Macaca fascicularis: one gene and its partners. The protein of the gene in region 2 purifies or fractionates together with the protein of the main gene of each other region. This does not show direct contact. Links are inferred from orthologs where the notes say so. Each region holds a gene or a part of one and is shown on either strand. Other genes may lie near its edges.

Region 1 (6,172 bases), on a different chromosome or scaffold from region 2:
TTTGGGCATTATACTTCTGTTTCAGGTTGTTTTTAGGTGCAAGTACAGAATAGCGGTTCAGAATACAGATCCTGGAACCAGGATCTGTTATGGCTGAATCCTGTCTTTGCCATGTACTGGCTGTGTGACCCTGGACAAGTTACATAAACACTTGTGATTCAGTGCTCTCTTTTGTGAAATAGAGCAAATAACAGTACTACCTCACAGTTGTGAAGATCAAGTGTATTAATACATGGTAAACACTCAACACTTCTGGACACATAGTAGTCAGTATTTTCAAGCAAAAGAAACTCAACTTGGCTTGGTATGGTGGCTCAGGCCTGTAATCCCAGCACTTTGGGAGGCGAAGGTGGGTGGATTGCTTGAGCTCAGGAGTTCAAGACCAGCTTGGGCAAAATAGTGAAACCCTGTCTTTACAAAAAATACAAAAATTAGCTGGACGTGGTGGTATGTACCTGTAGTCCCAGCTATTTGGGAGGCTGAGGTGGGAGGATGGCTTCAGCTCAGGAGGCAGAGGTCGCAGTTAGCCAAGATCGTGCCACTCCACTCCAGCCTGGGTGACAGAGCCAGACCCTGTATCAAAGACAAGAAAAAAAAAGAAAAAAAAAAAAAGAGAAGAAACTCAACTTGACAATACAAAAGAAATGTGTATCGGATCTCATAATTGCAAACCTTCAGAGATAGAGCGGGTCAGACCTCTCAAGGTTTCCCTACAGTTTTCTTATTCAGATTTCTAGGACTCACATCCCTCAGTTCAGAAGAACAGAGGCTGCTTTCCTACCTCCAACCAGTAAACAAAAGGCACGGGCTGTCCAACTGGATGAATTTAGGTCATGTGCCTGCCCCTGAACCATTCTCAGTAGCTGAGAGAATGCCTCACAGTGATTGGTTTAGGGGTGAATTCCTTCCACATTCTTGCATTTAGGGGGATGGGATTATGCTGATTAAGAGTAGGTGCAACCCTTTATGAACTCTGGCTGCTATACAATGAATGAGGCTGGCATTAATGACTGCAAGAATGGACAAATTTGGTGTTTGAATTTATTTATAGTAAGAAATAAACCATGACAACTTTTCTAAAATGTAATCTTTTAGAACACAAAAAAATTGCAGAAACAAAAATGGCCCATAATCCTGATGCTCTGTTGACCATCTTTGTTTTGTTTCTTCGTTTGAGCATATAGCAAAAAATGCAAAATTCAGAAATGTGTAACGAGCATAGAATGTTACTGGAACAATTGACAAAACTTGAACACAGACTACATACTAAACAACAGCATGAAATTTCAGTTTTTCTGAATTTGACGACTGCAGTGTGGTTATGTAAGAGAATGTCTTTTCTTAGGAGATACACCGTGAAACAGAGGAAAAAGGACATGATTCTGAAACTCTCAAATGTTTCAAAAAGTAACATATTGAAATCACACATAGGTACACATGTGCATAGGTATACATATATATGTATAGAGACATTGCAGTAGCAAATGTGTTAACATTTGGCAAATCTGGATAAGGATTTGCAATTCTGCTGCATTTGAAATTATTTAAAAATACAAAACTTGAGTGTTTGGAGAAACAGGAATAAGAAATATTTTGTTACTATATTTGCGGCTTCTATACAGTCTTTTACGACGCAATTGAAAAAAAAAACTAAACTAAAAAATATAACATAAATCTTCCCTCCCATAGTGGCCAGAAACCCCTGCCAAGTTCTTCGGATATCGTAACAGGAAAAAAATGCAAAGCAATATGTCTTTCTATAAAGATTACTTATTTACTAATTATCATTTTTTAATTTTCATGAAGATCAACAACAAAGTTTTTTTAAAATAATGACTTTGAGAATCATTTTGCGGTATTTGTTCAAGGCTCTCGCCCAGGAAAACGCCCAGGGACCATGCGCGCTTCAATCCAGTGGAAACACGAACGGCCCAGGGACCGCCCCTTCGCGTTGCTTGACGGGATCTGGAGTCCTCCCGCTCCGCCCGGCCAGGCGCTCGGGAACCGCCCGTCTGCTCCCTCATCTCGCGATGCCATCCTCCTTTTTTTTTTTTTTTCCCCCCCTCCCACTCGCCCCTAAGCCCTATGACTCCCTCCCCTCTCAACGTGTTTTTCAAATCCACCAATGGGCACACAGCTTGGGCTCGAACCAGCCAATCGGAATGCGGAGTCACCGGGAAATTTAAATCGCGCCGGCCGGCTGCACGAGCCACACGGTCTTTGAGCTGAGTCGAGGTGGACCCTTTGAGCGCAGCCGTCCCACAGCCGCTGATTCCCCGCATCGCCTCCCGTGGAAGCCCGGGCCCGCTTCTCAGGTACAGACTCAGGCGGCGGCTCGGCCCGAGCGCTAACGGTTTGCCCGCGGGCGGCGTTCGCCTTTGGGTGGGGGGAAGGAGGCCCCGGGTCCACGCCGAGCCTGGCTCAGCCTCCCGCGTTGTCTAGGCCTCGGGGGCGACTGGTTCATTGACCAGGCGGCTGAGTTTCGCGGGGTCTGCGGGTTTAGGGCGCCGACGCTCTTCAAACGGCAGCGGAGACCATAACGCGTCGCGGCCGGGAGAATCGGAGCGAGCCAGGCCTGAGGGCGAATGTCCCGGGAGGGCTCGTGGCGGCCCTGGCCTCGCTTCCCCCTTTCTCGTTGCATCTTCCCCGACGTAGGGGCAGGGGCAGGGGCTGGGGGTGGCAGTTGGGAGCACTGTCTCTGACACTTTGGCCCCGGGGTGGCTGTGCCACCAAGTCGTAGGCGAGCGTAATGAAAGCAAAGATAGCAAATTGTAAGGAGGGCTTTGACTTTTGTCGTCTTCTGAATGACGCACAGCTGATGTCGTCCTAATTAAGTGCATTCGCTCCTAGTCTCTGGAAATGCAAATCAAATATGCGACATGCGGCACTGCATTTTTAATGTTGACCATAATGTAATGATGAAGCAAATTTTTTTTAGTTTTCGAATCTGCACCTATTTTGGCCAAGTAAAGACAGTAAAGTAGTGCGAGCCTCCTGAGAATCTGAATTTATTGCCCTGGCACATAATTTTTAGCTGTAAGTTAACTTGGTTCCCCTGCTTTGCCTTGGATTAACTATTAGGGACTCTGGAGTATCGAGCCAGGCTGTCAGAAACGGTGGACACACGTGGCTAGTCCAAATTGAAATACGCTGTAAGCTTAAAGTACACAAAAGACTTCAAAGATAGAGTATGGAAAAAGAATGTAAAAGATGTCAGTTATTTTATATATTGAAATATATATGTTGAAATACTATTTGGATATGTTGGGTTAAGTAAAATAAATTATTGAAATTAGTTTCACTTGTTTCTTTTCGCCTTTTAAAAAGTATGGCTACTAGGAAGTTTCAATTTATATAGCTTGCATTCTATTTCTGATGGACAGCCCTCTCCAGGAAGTCTCAGCGCTTCAGAGGGAAGGGGGACAGTTCCCGTTTGGGTAAAGCTATTTCATAGTGCTGAAAGCATGATGATCCCCCCTCTAGTATACAGGTGTGGATTCAGTAGATGCTTGATAATTCAATTCTTATTTGGTACTATTATTGACAAAGGAAAATGATAAAGGAAATATTTTTCTCCTCGCCCATCTTTTAGCTTTCTCCCTTTGTCTCATAACCATGTCCACCAATGAGAATGCTAATACACCAGCTGCCCGTCTTCACAGATTCAAGAACAAGGGAAAAGACAGTACAGTGAGTACCTTCTGTTGCTTTCCTGTGGTGGTGTTTAAATGGGAGGACATTTGGAAAGGGGTGAAAACTTAGGGATCTTTTTAAAAATACCCTCACTTAGCAACAAAAACTGATGTGATAGGTGAAACGGCATGTTATCTTTTCTCAAGGAAATGAGGCGTCGCAGAATAGAGGTCAATGTGGAGCTGAGGAAAGCTAAGAAGGATGACCAGATGCTGAAGAGGAGAAACGTAAGCTCATTTCCTGATGATGCTACTTCTCCGCTGCAGGAAAACCGCAACAACCAGGTAAAAAATGTATTTTGGTTTATGAGTTACGTGAAATCCAGAAAATCAGTAGGAACTTTTCTTAGAAATTCCAGTAAACTTAACATTTTTAGCCTTAGGTTGTAACTATCTGTGAAGATCTTTTTCTCTGTTCCCAATTAGTAATTGTCTTCTTTCCTGCCTTCCATAATCCACTGAAGCTGATTTAGGATCTTCCTTTAGCTCTGACCTTCCTTCAGACTTCCCTGCATTTCTAGCTGCTAACTGGGTACCTTGACCTGACCACTGTGTCCAGAGCCAACCAGTTTCTGGTTTATTCTTTTTTTTTTTTTTTCCCTAGACGGGGTCTTGCTTTGTTGCTCAGGCTGGAGTGCAGTGGCACAATCTTGGCTCACAGCAACCTCTGCCTCCTGGGTTCAAGCAATTCTCCTGCCACAGCCTCCTGAGTAGCTGGGATTACGGGCACGCACCACCATGCTTGACTAGTTTTTGTATTTTTTTTTTGTTTTGTTTTTTTGAGTTTCCCTCTGTCGCCCAGGCTGGAGTACAGTGGTGTGATCTCAGCTTACTGCAAGCTCCACCTCCCAGGTTCACGCCATTCTCTTGCCTCAGCCTCCCAAGTAGCTGGGACTACAGGCACCTACCACCCTGCCCAGCTAATTTTTTTGTATTTTTAGTAGAGACGGGGTTTCATCATGTTAGCCAGGAAGGTCTCTGATCTCCTGACCTCGTGATCCACCCGCCTCGGCCTCCCAAAGTGCTGGGATCACAGGTGTGAGCCACTGCCCGGTCTGTTTTTGTATTTTTAGTAGAGGCAGAATTTCACCATGTTGGCCATGCTAGTCTTGAACTCCTGACCTCGTGATATGCCTGCCTTGGCCTCCCAAAGTGCTGGGATTACAGGCGTGAGCCACCAGGCCCTGCCCGTTTTTGGTTTATTTCTGCCTTTTTTGGTATTCTCTCTTTTTTTGTATTTGTCACCAGCTTTGTTCAGGACTTTCCTTCTGAAATATTTACGGTAGCCTCCTAAGTTATCATTTCCTCCTTTCTGTGCCATATATTATTTTCCTGAAATTTTTCCTAAAGTACTGCCTTAGACATGTGTTTTCTCTCCTCAAAATCCATCCTCCAAATTGCTTGAACCTGGTAGGTGCAGGTTGCAGTGAGCCAAGATCGTCCCATTGCACTCCAGCCTGGGCAACAATCAAGGAAAAAAATAAAAATAAAAAAATTCATATTCCAGCTCGGCATGGTGGTTCATGCCTGTTCATGCCAACACTTTGGGAAGCTGAAATGGGAGGATCACTGGAGGCCAGGAGTTTGAGCCCAGCCTAGGCAACGTAGCAAGACCTTGTCTCTATAAAAAATAAAGTTAGCTGGGCATGGTGGCATTGGCCTTTAGTCCTAGGTATTCAGGGGGCTGAGACAGAAGGATCACTTGCCAGGATTTTGAGGTTGCAGCGAGCTATGATTGCACTACTGTACTCTGTGCTGGGTGACAGTGAGACACTATCTGTAAAATAAAAATCCCTGCTCCATGAAGGCCTTCCATAAAGTAGACCTATCTTAGATTTTCAAATTTATCTTTCATCTGGGCACTTTCCTACATCTTTTTCTCACAATATGCGTCCTTTTTTTTTTTTTTTTTTCTTAAGATGAAGCCTTGCTTTGTTGCCCAGGCAGGAGTGCAAGGCACCATCTTGGCTCACCACAACATCCGCCTCCTGGGTTCAAGCGATACTCATGCCTCAACCTCTGGAGTAGTTGGGATTACAGGCATGTGCTACCATGCCCAGCTAATTTTTGTTTTTTTCCAGTAGAGACGGGGTTTCGCAATGTTGGTCAGGCTGGTCTCGAACCCTGACCTCAGGTGATCTGCCTGCCTTGGCCTCCCAAAGTTCTGAGATTACAGGTGTGAGCCACCACACCCAGCCACATTATGCTTCCTTTAGCACTCCACATTTATCTTTTTTTTTTTTTAATTGAATACTATCTATGTTCTATATCTAGGGTACTAATACTCAAAGCTCATCTTCTCCTTATAGCACTCCTTAGTCTAGCAGGAAAGACACTTCTTTCTCAGGATTCTCTAGCACCTGGTTCTGCACCCAAAATGGGGAGTAAATGCTGTGTAGCCCATCTATTTACCACTTGTTTTACGCTGTTTGTCTCCTTGTCACATTTCCTCTGTGAGGCGTCAGGCTCCTGGAGAGACA
Region 2 (6,096 bases):
TGCTCAGCTAGTGTCTGGTTACCAGCCTCAATTTTTCCGATGGCTTCAAGCTTCTAGATTGCATGATTATCTGTGTTGCCTAATTAGAAATGATCAGATCTGGGTGTGGTGGCTCACACCAGTAATCCCAGCACTTTGGGAGGCAGAAGCAGGAGAACTGCTTGAGACCAGGAGTTCAGGACCAGCCTGGGAAACAAAGTGCAATGCCATTTCAACCATAAAACACAAAACAAAACAAAACAAAATTGTGGCTGGGCACGGTGGCTCATGCCTGTAATCCCAGCACTTTGGGAGGCTGAGGCAGGCAGATCACAAGGTCAGGAGATCAAGACCATCCTGACCAACATGGTGAAACTCCATTTCTACTAAAATACAAAAAACTAGCCAGGCATGGTGGCGCACATCTGTAATCCCAGCTGCTCGGGAGGATGAGGCAGGGGAATCACTTGAACCCGGGAGGTGGACGTTGCAGTGAGCCGAGATCACGCCACTGCACTCCAGCCTGGTAACAAAGTAAGACTCTGTCTCAAAAACAAAAACAAAAAAACCTGTTTTTAATTAGCTGCGCATAGTGTCATGGGCCTGTAATCCCAGCTACTTGGGAGACCCAGGGAGGAAGCTCGATCACTTGGCCCAATAGGTCGAGGTTGCAGTGACAGCTAGTATCATGCCACTGCACTCCAGCCTGGGCAAGAGTGAGGCCCTGTCTCAAAATAAATAAATAAATCAGAAATTTAGCTAGGAGCTTCAAATGACAAGACATTTGTATATACAGTGGATTTCCTAATCATGGGTCCACTAACTTGCTGGACCATAGTCTTAGTTTCGTATGCCTGATCCTCTAAAATGAGGGATGAGTCCAGGTAGCTCATTCCATGGCAGGCAGCAGTCTTTTTTTATTTTTGAGACAGGTTCTCGCTATGCTACCCAGGCTGGTCTCATCTCAGGCTCATGCGATCCTCCTTCCTCTGCAGTGGCTTGGATTAGACACAACTGCCACCACGCCTGCTCCTAGGCAGTAGTCTTAATGCCTGATGATGGGGGGTTGGGGAAGGAAGGAAAGTATCAGGGCAAATGTTGCAGAGCTGTGTTAAGGACTTAGGCCCTGGAATCAAATGCCTCTGCTCACATCCCACTCTGCAAGACTTTGGGCAACTTAAGCAGCAGCCTCTGTTTCCATCGGAGTGGCTCTTGCCTCTAATCCCAGCATTTTGGGAGGCTGAGGCAGGACGATCACTCGGACCCAAGAGTTCGAGACTACCCCATCTCTACAAAAAAATCCAAAAAGTAATCTGCTTGCTCATGCGGATGTGGTTGTAAGGAAGCGAAATAACACGCAGAGTGCAATGAGCAAGTCCCAGCACAAAATACTCATTTCATAAAATACATGTTTATTATTGCCATAGGCCTACAGTCCCTGGTATTCTCAATATATCTTGCCTGAGAAGTATCACACTCATGCCTATTAACCAGCTCATACATTTTTTTAATCAAAGGAATTTGGCAGTTGTAGGGTTGTCTTTTCATTCACATCGTCCCTGGAATTAAGTGTCCTGCTACACCAGTGCAGATTCAGCAGCATCTGTCAAGAGTGTCAGTTCCATCTGCAGAGGAAAGGCTCTCTGGCTTCGGTCCGTGGCTCTCCGCGGGTGCGGTGTCTGGACCCAGCCTATCTTCATCTCTGTTAGGCTTCGGGGTCTTTCTCCACACGGTGTCTTGTCCAATCACAGGACTTCAGCGGAGCCTGCGGTCTGGCCTAGGCTCTTCTGCGTGGGATGTCTGCAGGCCAACAATCCGAGTCGGGGTTCGAAGCCGCGCGCAGTGCCCGGAACGACCCCTCCACGTCGAGGCCAGTGTAGAGCCCGGAAGGCAAAGTAAAGGCCTCGGCCCCGCACAGCCCAGGCTTAAATGTTTGCGCCAGGGCCCCTCTGGCTACCTGGTGGTGGCCCCGAACGGCCACGGAGGCCGCGGCGTAGCTCCTGGGTGAAGGTGTCTCTGAATCGCCCAGCGCGGCGGCACAGGGAGCCTGCGGGGCCAGCCGCGAGGTCCTGCAGGCGGCGGGCCGCGTCCTGGCCCCGCAGCTGGGCCTGCAGCAGAGCGAAGGCCGTGAGCTGCGCCGCACGTCGGATAGGCCGAGACTCGGACAGACGTTCCACCAGCTGCGGGCTGTGCAGCAGGGCCGCCAGCAGCCGCCGAAGCACCATCTTCCCCAAGCGCCCGGGAATCCGACCTCGCCGCCCTAGTCTTCCGCCCGGCGGCGCCCGACCCGGACGTCATCTGCGCCCGCGCAGCTTGATGACGACACTGCCGCCCTCGGATTGGGTCCAATGAGATGCGCGCTTCCGCGCGTTTCCGCTTCCGCCACGGCAGACGCCACCTCGTGCCGGGAATCGCCGCGTCCTCGTCCGCTTCTCTGCGCTATGTCGGGTGGCCTCCTGAAGGCGCTGCGCAGCGACTCCTACGTGGAGCTGAGCCAGTACCGGGACCAGCACTTCCGGGTGAGGGAGGCCGGGCCGCGAGAGGGGAAGGCCCTGGGCCAGAACGCTGAGAAACGGTTTGCTCTTGTCTCATTGTGTCGCCTCCCGTTCTGCTGCAATCCCCAAACGCCAAGTGGGGCCCCGGTGCCGGCTGGGGAGGCAGGGAGCGGGTGCTGGGGGGGCGCTTGGACATCACTGAAGCCGCTGGCTCTGGAAGACAGGGCATTTGAGGCTCGCTTTCCTGTTCCCTCCAGCCGCTCCCTGCACCCGAGCCGGTGCCGAGAGGCCTGAGCGCTGATGGTAGTGGCGGCTCCCGTTTCCAGGTTGTACCTCGCAGATGGCTGCGTAACAAGGGCGGGGTGCCCTTCTCTCTCCCAGAGTGTGCAGAGGCGCCTTCTTGATGCAGATTCGGGGCTTTTTACGTTCTTTTTTATTTTTTTTATTTTTTTATTTTATTTTTTTTTTTTTGAGACGGAGTCTCGCTCTGTAGCCCAGGCTGGAGTGCAGTGGCCGGATCTCAGCTCACTGCAAGCTCCGCCTCCCGGGTTTACGCCATTCTCCGGCCTCAGCCTCCCGAGTAGCTGGGACTACAGGCGCCCACCACCTCGCCCGGCTAGTTTTTCTGTATTTCTTAGTAGAGACGGGGTTTCACCGTGTTAGCCAGGATGGTCTCCATCTCCTGACCTCGTGATCCGCCCATCTCGGCCTCCCAAAGTGCTGGGATTACAGGTGTGAGCCACCGCGCCCGGCCTACGTTCTTTTTTAAATCGGCGAAGCAGTGCCCTTCTCTGGGAGGATGGTGTTAGGGAAGCTGTACGCGGTGCGTGGGAGACACAAGTGAAGTCCTCACTCCGCCCTCGGGGAGGCTTCGGAGTGGGGAGGGGGACCCGCCAAGCTGGGCACTTTGAGGGTGTTTGGATGTGAAGATCGGAGAATTGCTGGATTTCAGAAGAGAGAAATTTTTAGTCCGGACTATATCACAGTATGTTTTGTGGAAAAAGGGGAGGCCGCAGATATACAAAGTAGGCTTTTCAGTATCAGCAAAGGTAGGGATGGAATACGGTTGAGGGGTGGCGGCGCGGGACTCATTAACCCGGTTATTTAGTAAACATTTGTTGAGTGCTGTCACCAAAGCCTTGTGCTAAACCCTGGGGGGAAGGGAAGACAGTTTCTGCACTCTGCGAGCTCATAATCCCCTGTAGTGTGGATTATCAAAGAATCTAAGGTAGAAGTGAGTTAAAAGAGAGGCTGTGAGAATTCAGAAAAAGGGGAGAAATCCCCTTGTGACTGGGAAATGAGGGGGCGCATATAGCAGAGGTCAGTGTGGAGAACGTGTGAAATATGTTACTAGAGTAGGGAAAAGGAAACTTTGACGCCAAATTAGGGAAGCTCTGAAATTTATTCAGTCGAGGCCGGGCACGGTGACTCATGCCTGTAATCCCAGCACTTTGGGAGGCTGAGGCGGGTGGATCACGAGGTTAGGAGATCGAGACCAGACTGGCCGAGATGGTGAAACCCCATCCCTACTAAAAATACAAAAATTAGCCGGGCGTGGTGGCGGCGCCTGTAGTCCCAGCTACTCGGAAGGCTGAGGCAGGAGAATTGCTTGATCCCGGAAGGTGGAGGTTGCGGTGAGCCAAGATCGCGCCACCGCACTCCAGCCTGGGCAACAGAGCGAGATTCCTACTTTAAAAAAAAAAAAAAAATTCGGTCAATTTATTTTATTTTTTGAGACAGAATCTCGCTCTATTGCCTAGGCTGAAGTGCAGTGGCGCAATCACGGCTCATGCAGCCTCAACCTCCTGAGCCCAAGTGATCCTCCCCACCTCAGCCTCCTGAGAAGCTGGGACCACAGGCTCTCACACTACATCCGGCTAATTTTTTGTAGAGACAGGGTCTCCCTGAGTTGCTCAGGCCGGTCTCAAACTCTGGGACTCAAGCGATCCACCAGCCTGGGCTTCCCAAAGTGCTGGGATTACAGACGTGAACCACTGACCCCGGCCAGTCCAGGTTTTAGATGCTTAAGTGCCAGGCATGATTTGCACTTTTTTTGAGACGGGGTCTGGCTCTGTCACCCAGGCTGGAGTGCAGTAGCACGATCTCGGCTCACTGCAAGCTCCGCCTCCCGGGTTCACGCCATTCTCCTGGCGAGCTGGGACTACAGGCCCCGCCACCACGCCCGGCTAATATTTTTGTTTTTGTTTTTGTTTTTTAGTAGAGACGGGGTTTCACCGTGTTAGCCAGGATGGTCTCGATCTCCTGACCTCGTGATCCGCTCGCCTCGGCCTCCCAAAGTGCTGGGATTACAGGCGTGAGCCGCTGTGCGCGACCCTGATGAGCCATTTTGGATCCAGGGATTTGTCAGGTGTGTTGGATGAAGCCCAGTTATATTCTTATCTCTGGCTTCATCGTGTCATCCCAGTTTGGAAGCCCATTAGGAAAGTGAGCTCTGTTTTGTTTTTAGTGATCACTACATTTTTTTCCTCAATTCAGAAAAAATACATGAGCATGTAAAGCATCAGAGTTGTTGCTTTAAACAGTCTCTATGGGGTTATTAAAAGGGGACTCTCTGGAAATCCACTTATTTCTCACTACAGAGTATAAAAGGGCCCTTTGTCATACATGGGTCAAGGTCCAGAGTTTAACCTTGGTTGAAAGGATGCACTGCTGAGAAGATGGCGTGTGCAGGGAAAAAAGCCGCTTGTGTGGCAGTCTGGCGTAGGGTGACTTTGCTGTATGCGGTATAACTTTTGAGCCTTGTCTCTACTAAGAGTCTGGACTTTGCATAAGTGCTTCACAGGATGTGAACATCTCCCTTTTTTTGAGCAAGGGATTTGTGGTAGGCTGGGATGAGAGAATTTGATTTCCAAATCAGAATTAATGAATGTTTCTACCATACTTAGAAATACTATTTAAGCAAGGCTCTGAAGTTGCTTAACTTTTGTCTCTCTTTGAAATTCTAGGGTGACAATGAAGAACAAGAAAAATTACTGAAGAAAAGCTGTACGTTATATGTTGGAAATCTTTCTTTTTACACAACCGAAGAACAAATCTACGAACTCTTCAGCAAAAGTGGTGACATAAAGAAAATCATTATGGGTCTGGATAAAATGAAGAAAACAGCATGTGGATTCTGTTTTGTGGAGTATCCTTCCTGTGGATGGAATGTGGCTGCTGAACTGGGGTAGAGCTGAGAATAGTAGCTCATAATCCTCCCTGCACTTGCCCCTACGTTTTCCCTCGTCTCCCTCCTACCTTCTGTCCAGTGTCACTGCTCTTTTTTTTTTTTGAGACAGAGTCTGGCTCTGTCGCCCAGGCTGGAGCGCAGTGGCCGGATCTGAGCTCACTGCAAGCTCCGCCTCCCGAGCTTACACCATTCTCCTGCCTCAGCCTCCGGAGTAGCTAGGACTGCAGGCGCCCGCCACGTCGCCCGGCTAGTTTTTGTATTTTTTTTTTTTTTAGTAGAGACGGGGTTTCAACGTGTTAGCCAGGATGGTCTCGATCTCCTGACCTCATGATCCGCCCATCTCGGCCTCCCAAAGTGCTGGGATTACAGGCTTGAGCCACCGCGCCCGGCCGTCACTGCTCTTATACTATAAAGCTGACACTAGTTACATTC
Region 3 (5,848 bases), on a different chromosome or scaffold from region 2:
GAAGTGATGGAATGGCTAAGCAATGGGTTCTTGCTGCTTACTGGCTGGGGATACAGTCATTGGGGTGTGGGAAATTGTCCTCAAGCAGGTCAATAGCTTCTGTGTGGGACCACAGAAGCGGTTAGAGCTTCAGGTGGAACCATTGGTAGTCATACATGCAAAATACCTGAAAAGATATCTCAAAATGCCAATCTTAGGGTCTACAATAGTGATGTTATCTGGAAGAGTAATTGGAAAAGTTGCGTACCTTGTGACCTCTGGGATAATGACTGGCAACGGTTTATGTCTACACCTTAGCAGAATTCAGCCTCCTTTATCCTTCTACCCTGGTGATTTCTTATTAGCTTTACAAAGGCGGTTGGCTTTTGGGGAAGGGTTATTATCATTTAAACTATAAACTAAATATCTCCCAAAGTTACACTGACTGGCCCAAGCCCAGGAATAATTAAGGGCAGCTTGAAGGCTAAAAGCAAAATAGGGGTTAGCTAGATCAGATCTCCCCCGCTGCCGTAATTTTCTCACTGTTACAATTTTTGCAAAGGCGATTCCAAGATAATCTTTAAAGAATGGGGTGGGTTGAGGGAAGGGCCTTCCAGGCCGAGTGAACAGCAAATGCAGAGGGCTTGCCTGAGGAACAACAGGTTCAGCGCGCCCGCGGCTGGGCAGGGGGACACACCAGGACCAGTGACCTGGTGCCCAGTCCACATAACCTTGTTTGCCATTGTAAAAAGTAAAATAGAGGTTCCTCTTCAAAGACTTTCCTCCCCATCTAATTAGGAATAAATAGTAACCTCTCTTAAAAGCAAAATTTATTCAAAGACCTGTGCTAACATTCTTAAATATCTGCTAGCTATAATAAAATAAATGTACTTTATGTTCTTATCTCCCACAATTTAGCCTAAATATTTGCCCTGGCATGCTTATACTAGTCCAAGCAAGCATTAGGTCATAGCCTGTTCCTCTTCCTTATTTAAAAGTGTTTTTGTCTTTCTCCACATTCCACAAGGTACTTCTTCCTTCCTTTGTTCTCCTCTACCTTTGCCTCTTTTAAAAAGTTCCAAGTTGCTAGCCAATCCCGAGGAATACAAAATGTGAGGTCCTGTTCCAGCCAATAAAAACCAGCCACAGCAGTAAGGTAAACGCCTCAGCTTACAAATGACCCTGTCTCCTTTGTTCAGTGTACTCTCCTGGCAAAACTGCTGGTGGGCGTACCCTTTCTGCAGAAAGTAAAAATGGCCTTACTCAATAAATTAAATTTATGTTCAAGTGCTATTTCTTTATGACACCGAAAAACAAACATTTCAAACACCATGCTGAGAACTCAGTCCTTGTTTTGAGGAGGGGTGCACTTGGAAGATTCCAGCTAAGGTACAATCGTCCCTCGGTATCTGCCGGTCATTGTTTTCAGGACCCCCACAGATACCAACATAGGCCATGCTCGAGCCCCCTTATATTATGTGGTGGTGCACAGTGCGTCCTTCCCATCCGCAGGTTTGGCATCTGTGGATAGGGAGTGGATACAGAGGGCGGACTATACCGCTTGAAAGGCTTCCCTGGAAGCAATATGTAGAGTGGGTAGCGGAGGAGCAAGAATGGAAGCAAGGAGGCTTGTCCAGAGCATACAGGCGAAGGATGTACGGCCAAGGGGGGAATCCCAGACGACCGCGATTCGTGACATATTTTTGTTTGCACGAAAATAAAGTTCGAAAGAAAAGTGTTGGGGGAACAAGGGATTCATTTTCCCGCGGTAGTTGAAACGCAATGGCTACGCCTCAAGCCGCTGCAACATGCTGGCCTCCGTGCGGGGGCGCCCAAACAGGCGCGCCGCCGGGCCTTCCGGCCGCACCGCCGGAAGTGCTCTCCTGACCCTCCGCCGCGCAGCTCATCGCAGGGCAGGAAGATGGCGTTGGAGGTTGGCGACATGGAAGATGGGCAGCTTTCCGACTCGGATTCCGACATGACGGTCGCACCCAGCGACAGGACGCTGCAATTGCCGGTGAGTGTGAAAGGAGGGTGCGTTATCGTGGCTGGGCGCGCCGAGCCTGGGCCGCGGAAAGCGCGCAGGCAGCGGTGAGGGTGAGGGGTGAGAGCTAGGAGCCCGGTCCGGACCGGGCTGCTCGGTCAGTGGCGGCAGAAAGGGCGAGCAGGCGTCCCCCGGGCGGGCTCACGGAGCCCGGGCTGCAGGGGCCGGCAGCGAGGGGCGGAGGCGGCGGCAGCGGCTGGGCGTGCGAGCCCCAACCTGGCGGCTCCCTGCGAGGCCGGGCGCGCGAGCCCTGGCGCCTCCTGGAGGCTGGCTTGGCGGCTGTCTCTTGGCGGTCTCACCTCCACCTACCGCTCTTTGTTTTTTTCTAAACTTAGGGCTTCCCCACTCCAGCGCCGCTAGGTGACCATTAAGGGGCAGATTTTGCCAGATGTGTAGCATCTGGGGACATTGGCCTGAAACAGCCTGTGGTGCTCCTTTTCTCCCTGAGACAGAGACTGAGGCCCAGGAATGAAGTTTATCAGAGTTCACTTAAAGAGCTGGTTTTCCTTGTTTCCACCGAACCTAGCTTTGTCATGCGGTACCATGGCACTAGGTTTTTGTGGTAGCTTCTCTGGTTTTGTTTGTTGTTTTAAGACAGAGTCTCACTCTGTCACCCAGGCTGGAGTGTAGTGGCGCAGTCTTGGCTCACTGCAACCTCCGCCTCCCGGGTGCAAGCGATTCTCCTGCCTCAGCCTCCCGAGTAGCTGGGATTACAGGGGCCTGCGGCCACGCCCGGCTAATTTTTATATTTTTGGTAGACACGGAGTTTCACCATGTTGGCCAGGCTGGTCTCGAACTCCCGCCTGAAGTGATCCACCCGCCTTGGGCTCCTGAAGTGCTGGAATTACAGGCGTGAGCCACCGCGCCCAGCCTAGCTTTTTGTATTTTTATTAGAGACGGGGATTCTCCATGTTGGCCAGGCTGGTCTTGAACTCCTGACCTCAAGTGATCCACCTGCCTCGGCCTCCCGAAGTGCTGTGATTAGAGGCGCGAGCCACCGCGCCGGGCCCAGCTTCCCTGCTTTCTAAACGGTAATTTGTCTTGACTGCCTTAGTAGGTAGCAACCTCTTTGAGGGGGCTTTGGTGCCAGATTGCCTGTGTTCAGATCCTGGGGCCACCGATGTGTGACCTACAGCAGGTTTATTTAGCCTAACTGCTTTTTGTCTCCATCTATGGAATTGGCATGATGTTCCACTGATAGGGTTATTGCAAGGATTCTATGGAGCATACAGTGCGCGGTAATGCCTGAAAAGTGTTATCTCTGATCATTATTTGAAGATAGTGGGAGATAGATCCTCCCTACTTGCGTTTCCAGCGTAGTAGGAGTTTTAACAAATACAAATACTTGCTTTTGCATATAAATGTTTAGGAAATTAGTACCAAGATATTTTGTTTTTCAATCTCAGGTTGTTTTTACATAAATTGACCCATGACTTGGTAAATAAACTTAATGCTGTGGACTGTGGGGTTTTAAAAATATGCCCAGGCCGGGTGCGGTGGCTCACGCCCGTAATCCCAGCACTTTGGGAGGCCGAGGCAGGTGGATCACGAGGTCAGGAGATTGAGACCATCCTGGCTAACACAGTGAAACCCCGTCTCTACTAAAAATACAAAAAAATTAGCCGGGCGTGGTGGCAGGCGCCTGTAGTCCCAGCTACTTGGGAGGCTGAGGCAGGAGAATGGCCTGAACCCGGGAGACAAAGCTTGCAGTGAGCCAAGATCGCACCACTGCACTCCAGCCTGGGTGACAGTGCGAGACTCCCTCTAAAAAAAAAAAAAAAAAAATCATGCCCAGCCTAGGCAATATGGCAGAACCCCATCTCTACAAAAAATGCAAAAAAAAAAAAATTAGCTGGTTATGGTGAGGGTCCCTCAGGAGGCTGAGGTAGGAGGATTGCTTGAACCTGGGAGGTTGAGGCTGCGGTGAGCCATGATTGCTCCACTGCACTCCAGCCTGGGCCACAGAACAAAACTTTGTCTCAAAAAAAAAAAAGTAACAATTATTATGTATGTCATTTTAAAACATTCTGACAATAACTGAAAAGTTTGAAATCTTTTAAAGGTGACAAGAACTTTGGTAATATAGTAAAAGGATATCTTAGAACAAAGTGCTGCATTAGTTGTAAAGATAAGAATTTGTGGCTTTTAAATTGGCGAATTCCATGTGGAACTTAGAAAAGTAAGGATTTGATTGGTCTCAGACTTGTCTTTGAAGATCAGTTCCTTTTGGAATGGCGCAGTTGAATCTCTAAATTTTTAAAAATTAGGTAGGTGGAGTTTATGTGTTTTGTGAAATGGATTGTGTTTCTTTTCACTTGCAGAAAGTGCTAGGTGGCGACAGTGCTACGAGGGCCTTCCAGAACACAGCAACGACATGTGCGCCAGTATCACATTATCGAGCTGTTGAAAGCGTGGATTCAAGTGAAGAGAGTTTTTCTGATTCAGATGATGATAGCTGTCTTTGGAAACGCAAACGACAGAAATGTTTTAACCCTCCTCCCAAACCAGAGCCTTTTCAGTTTGGCCAGAGCAGTCAGAAACCACCTGTTGCTGGAGGAAAGAAGATTAACAACATATGGGGTGCTGTGCTGCAGGAACAGAATCAAGATGCAGTGGCCACTGAACTTGGTATCTTGGGAATGGAGGGCACTATTGACAGAAGCAGGCAATCCGAGACCTACAATTATTTGCTTGCTAAGAAACTTAGGAGGGAATCTCAAGAGCATACAAAAGATCTAGACAAGGAACTAGATGAATATATGCACGGTGGCAAAAAAATGGGATCAAAGGAAGAGGAAAATGGGCAAGGTCATCTCAAAAGGAAACGACCTGTCAAAGACAGGCTGGGGAACAGACCAGAAATGAACTATAAAGGTCGATATGAGATCACAGAGGAAGATTCTCAAGAGAAAGTGGCTGATGAAATTTCATTCAGGTGAACATTTGAATTACAAATAAGTACTTGACCAGATGGCTTCTATTTACAGGAAATAAATGCCAAATACTTTAATGATATGTTCCCCTCTTTTTTTTTTTTTTTTTGAGATTTTTTTTTTCTTTTTCTTTTTCCTTTTTTCTTTTTTCTTTTTGTTTTTTTTGAGACAGCGTCTTGCTCTGTCACCCATGCTGGAGTGCAGTTAGTTGCTCACTGCAACCTCCGCCTCCTGGCTCAAGGGATTCTCCCACCTCAGCCTCCTGAATAGCTGGGACCACAGACACGCACCCCCACACCCAACTATTCTTTGTATTTTTAGTAGAGACAGGGTCTTACCATGCTGTCCAAGCTACTCTCAAACTCCAGAGCTCAAGGGATCCACCCGCCTTCGCCTCTCAAAGTGCTGGGATTACAGGCGTGAGCCAAGAGCTGGCCTAATTTATTTTTTTTTGGAGGGGAGAGGATCTCACTCTGTTGCCCAGGCTGGAGTGCAGTGCTACAATCACACCTCACTGGAGCCTAGAATTCTTGGGCTGAAGGGATTCTTCCACCTCAGCTTCCTAAGTAGCTGGGACTACAGACTCAGGCCATGATGCCTGGCTAATTTAAAAAAAAAAAAAAAAAAAAAGATGGCCAGGCACGGTGCCTCACGCTTGTAATCCCAGCACTTTGGGAGGCCAAGGTGGGTGGATCATGAGGTCAGGAGTTTGAGACCAGCCTGGCCAAAACAGTGAAACCCCGTCTCTACTAAAAATACAAAAATTAGCTGGGCATGGTGGTGGACACCTATAATCCCAGCTACTTGGGAGGCTGAGGCAGGAGAATTGCTTGAACCTGAGAGGCAGAGGTTGCAGTGAGTCGAGATTGTGTTACTGCACTCCAGGGTAGGC

The links.
Region 1: the proteins of NCBP2 (region 2) and KPNA2 purify together in Homo sapiens (affinity purification with mass spectrometry; 4 studies listed by BioGRID and IntAct, with this or other methods). This does not show direct contact. The link is inferred for Macaca fascicularis from reciprocal best matches to the Homo sapiens genes NCBP2 and KPNA2.
Region 3: the proteins of NCBP2 (region 2) and PHAX purify together in Homo sapiens (affinity purification with mass spectrometry; 5 studies listed by BioGRID and IntAct, with this or other methods). This does not show direct contact. The link is inferred for Macaca fascicularis from reciprocal best matches to the Homo sapiens genes NCBP2 and PHAX.

The regions. Positions count from the first base shown.
Region 1 is NC_088390.1:74,458,290-74,464,461, forward strand, and holds the start of KPNA2 (importin subunit alpha-1), read left to right. Parts: upstream 1-2,211; 5' UTR 2,212-2,315; intron 2,316-3,592; 5' UTR 3,593-3,615; coding exon 3,616-3,690; intron 3,691-3,839; coding exon 3,840-3,977; intron 3,978-6,172.
Region 2 is NC_088376.1:2,356,120-2,362,215, reverse strand, and holds the start of NCBP2 (nuclear cap-binding protein subunit 2), read left to right. Parts: upstream 1-2,368; 5' UTR 2,369-2,420; coding exon 2,421-2,498; exon of another isoform or gene 2,499-2,554; intron 2,555-2,729; exon of another isoform or gene 2,730-2,800; intron 2,801-3,052; exon of another isoform or gene 3,053-3,206; intron 3,207-3,347; exon of another isoform or gene 3,348-3,523; intron 3,524-4,692; exon of another isoform or gene 4,693-4,842; intron 4,843-5,440; coding exon 5,441-5,622; exon of another isoform or gene 5,623-5,661; intron 5,662-6,096. Other genes in the region: protein NCBP2AS2, read right to left, coding at 1,905-2,204. UniProt on the Homo sapiens protein: Component of the cap-binding complex (CBC), which binds co-transcriptionally to the 5' cap of pre-mRNAs and is involved in various processes such as pre-mRNA splicing, translation regulation, nonsense-mediated mRNA decay, RNA-mediated gene silencing (RNAi) by microRNAs (miRNAs) and mRNA export.
Region 3 is NC_088380.1:133,171,435-133,177,282, forward strand, and holds the start of PHAX (phosphorylated adapter RNA export protein), read left to right. Parts: upstream 1-1,887; 5' UTR 1,888-1,900; coding exon 1,901-1,996; intron 1,997-4,344; coding exon 4,345-4,958; intron 4,959-5,848. UniProt on the Homo sapiens protein: A phosphoprotein adapter involved in the XPO1-mediated U snRNA export from the nucleus.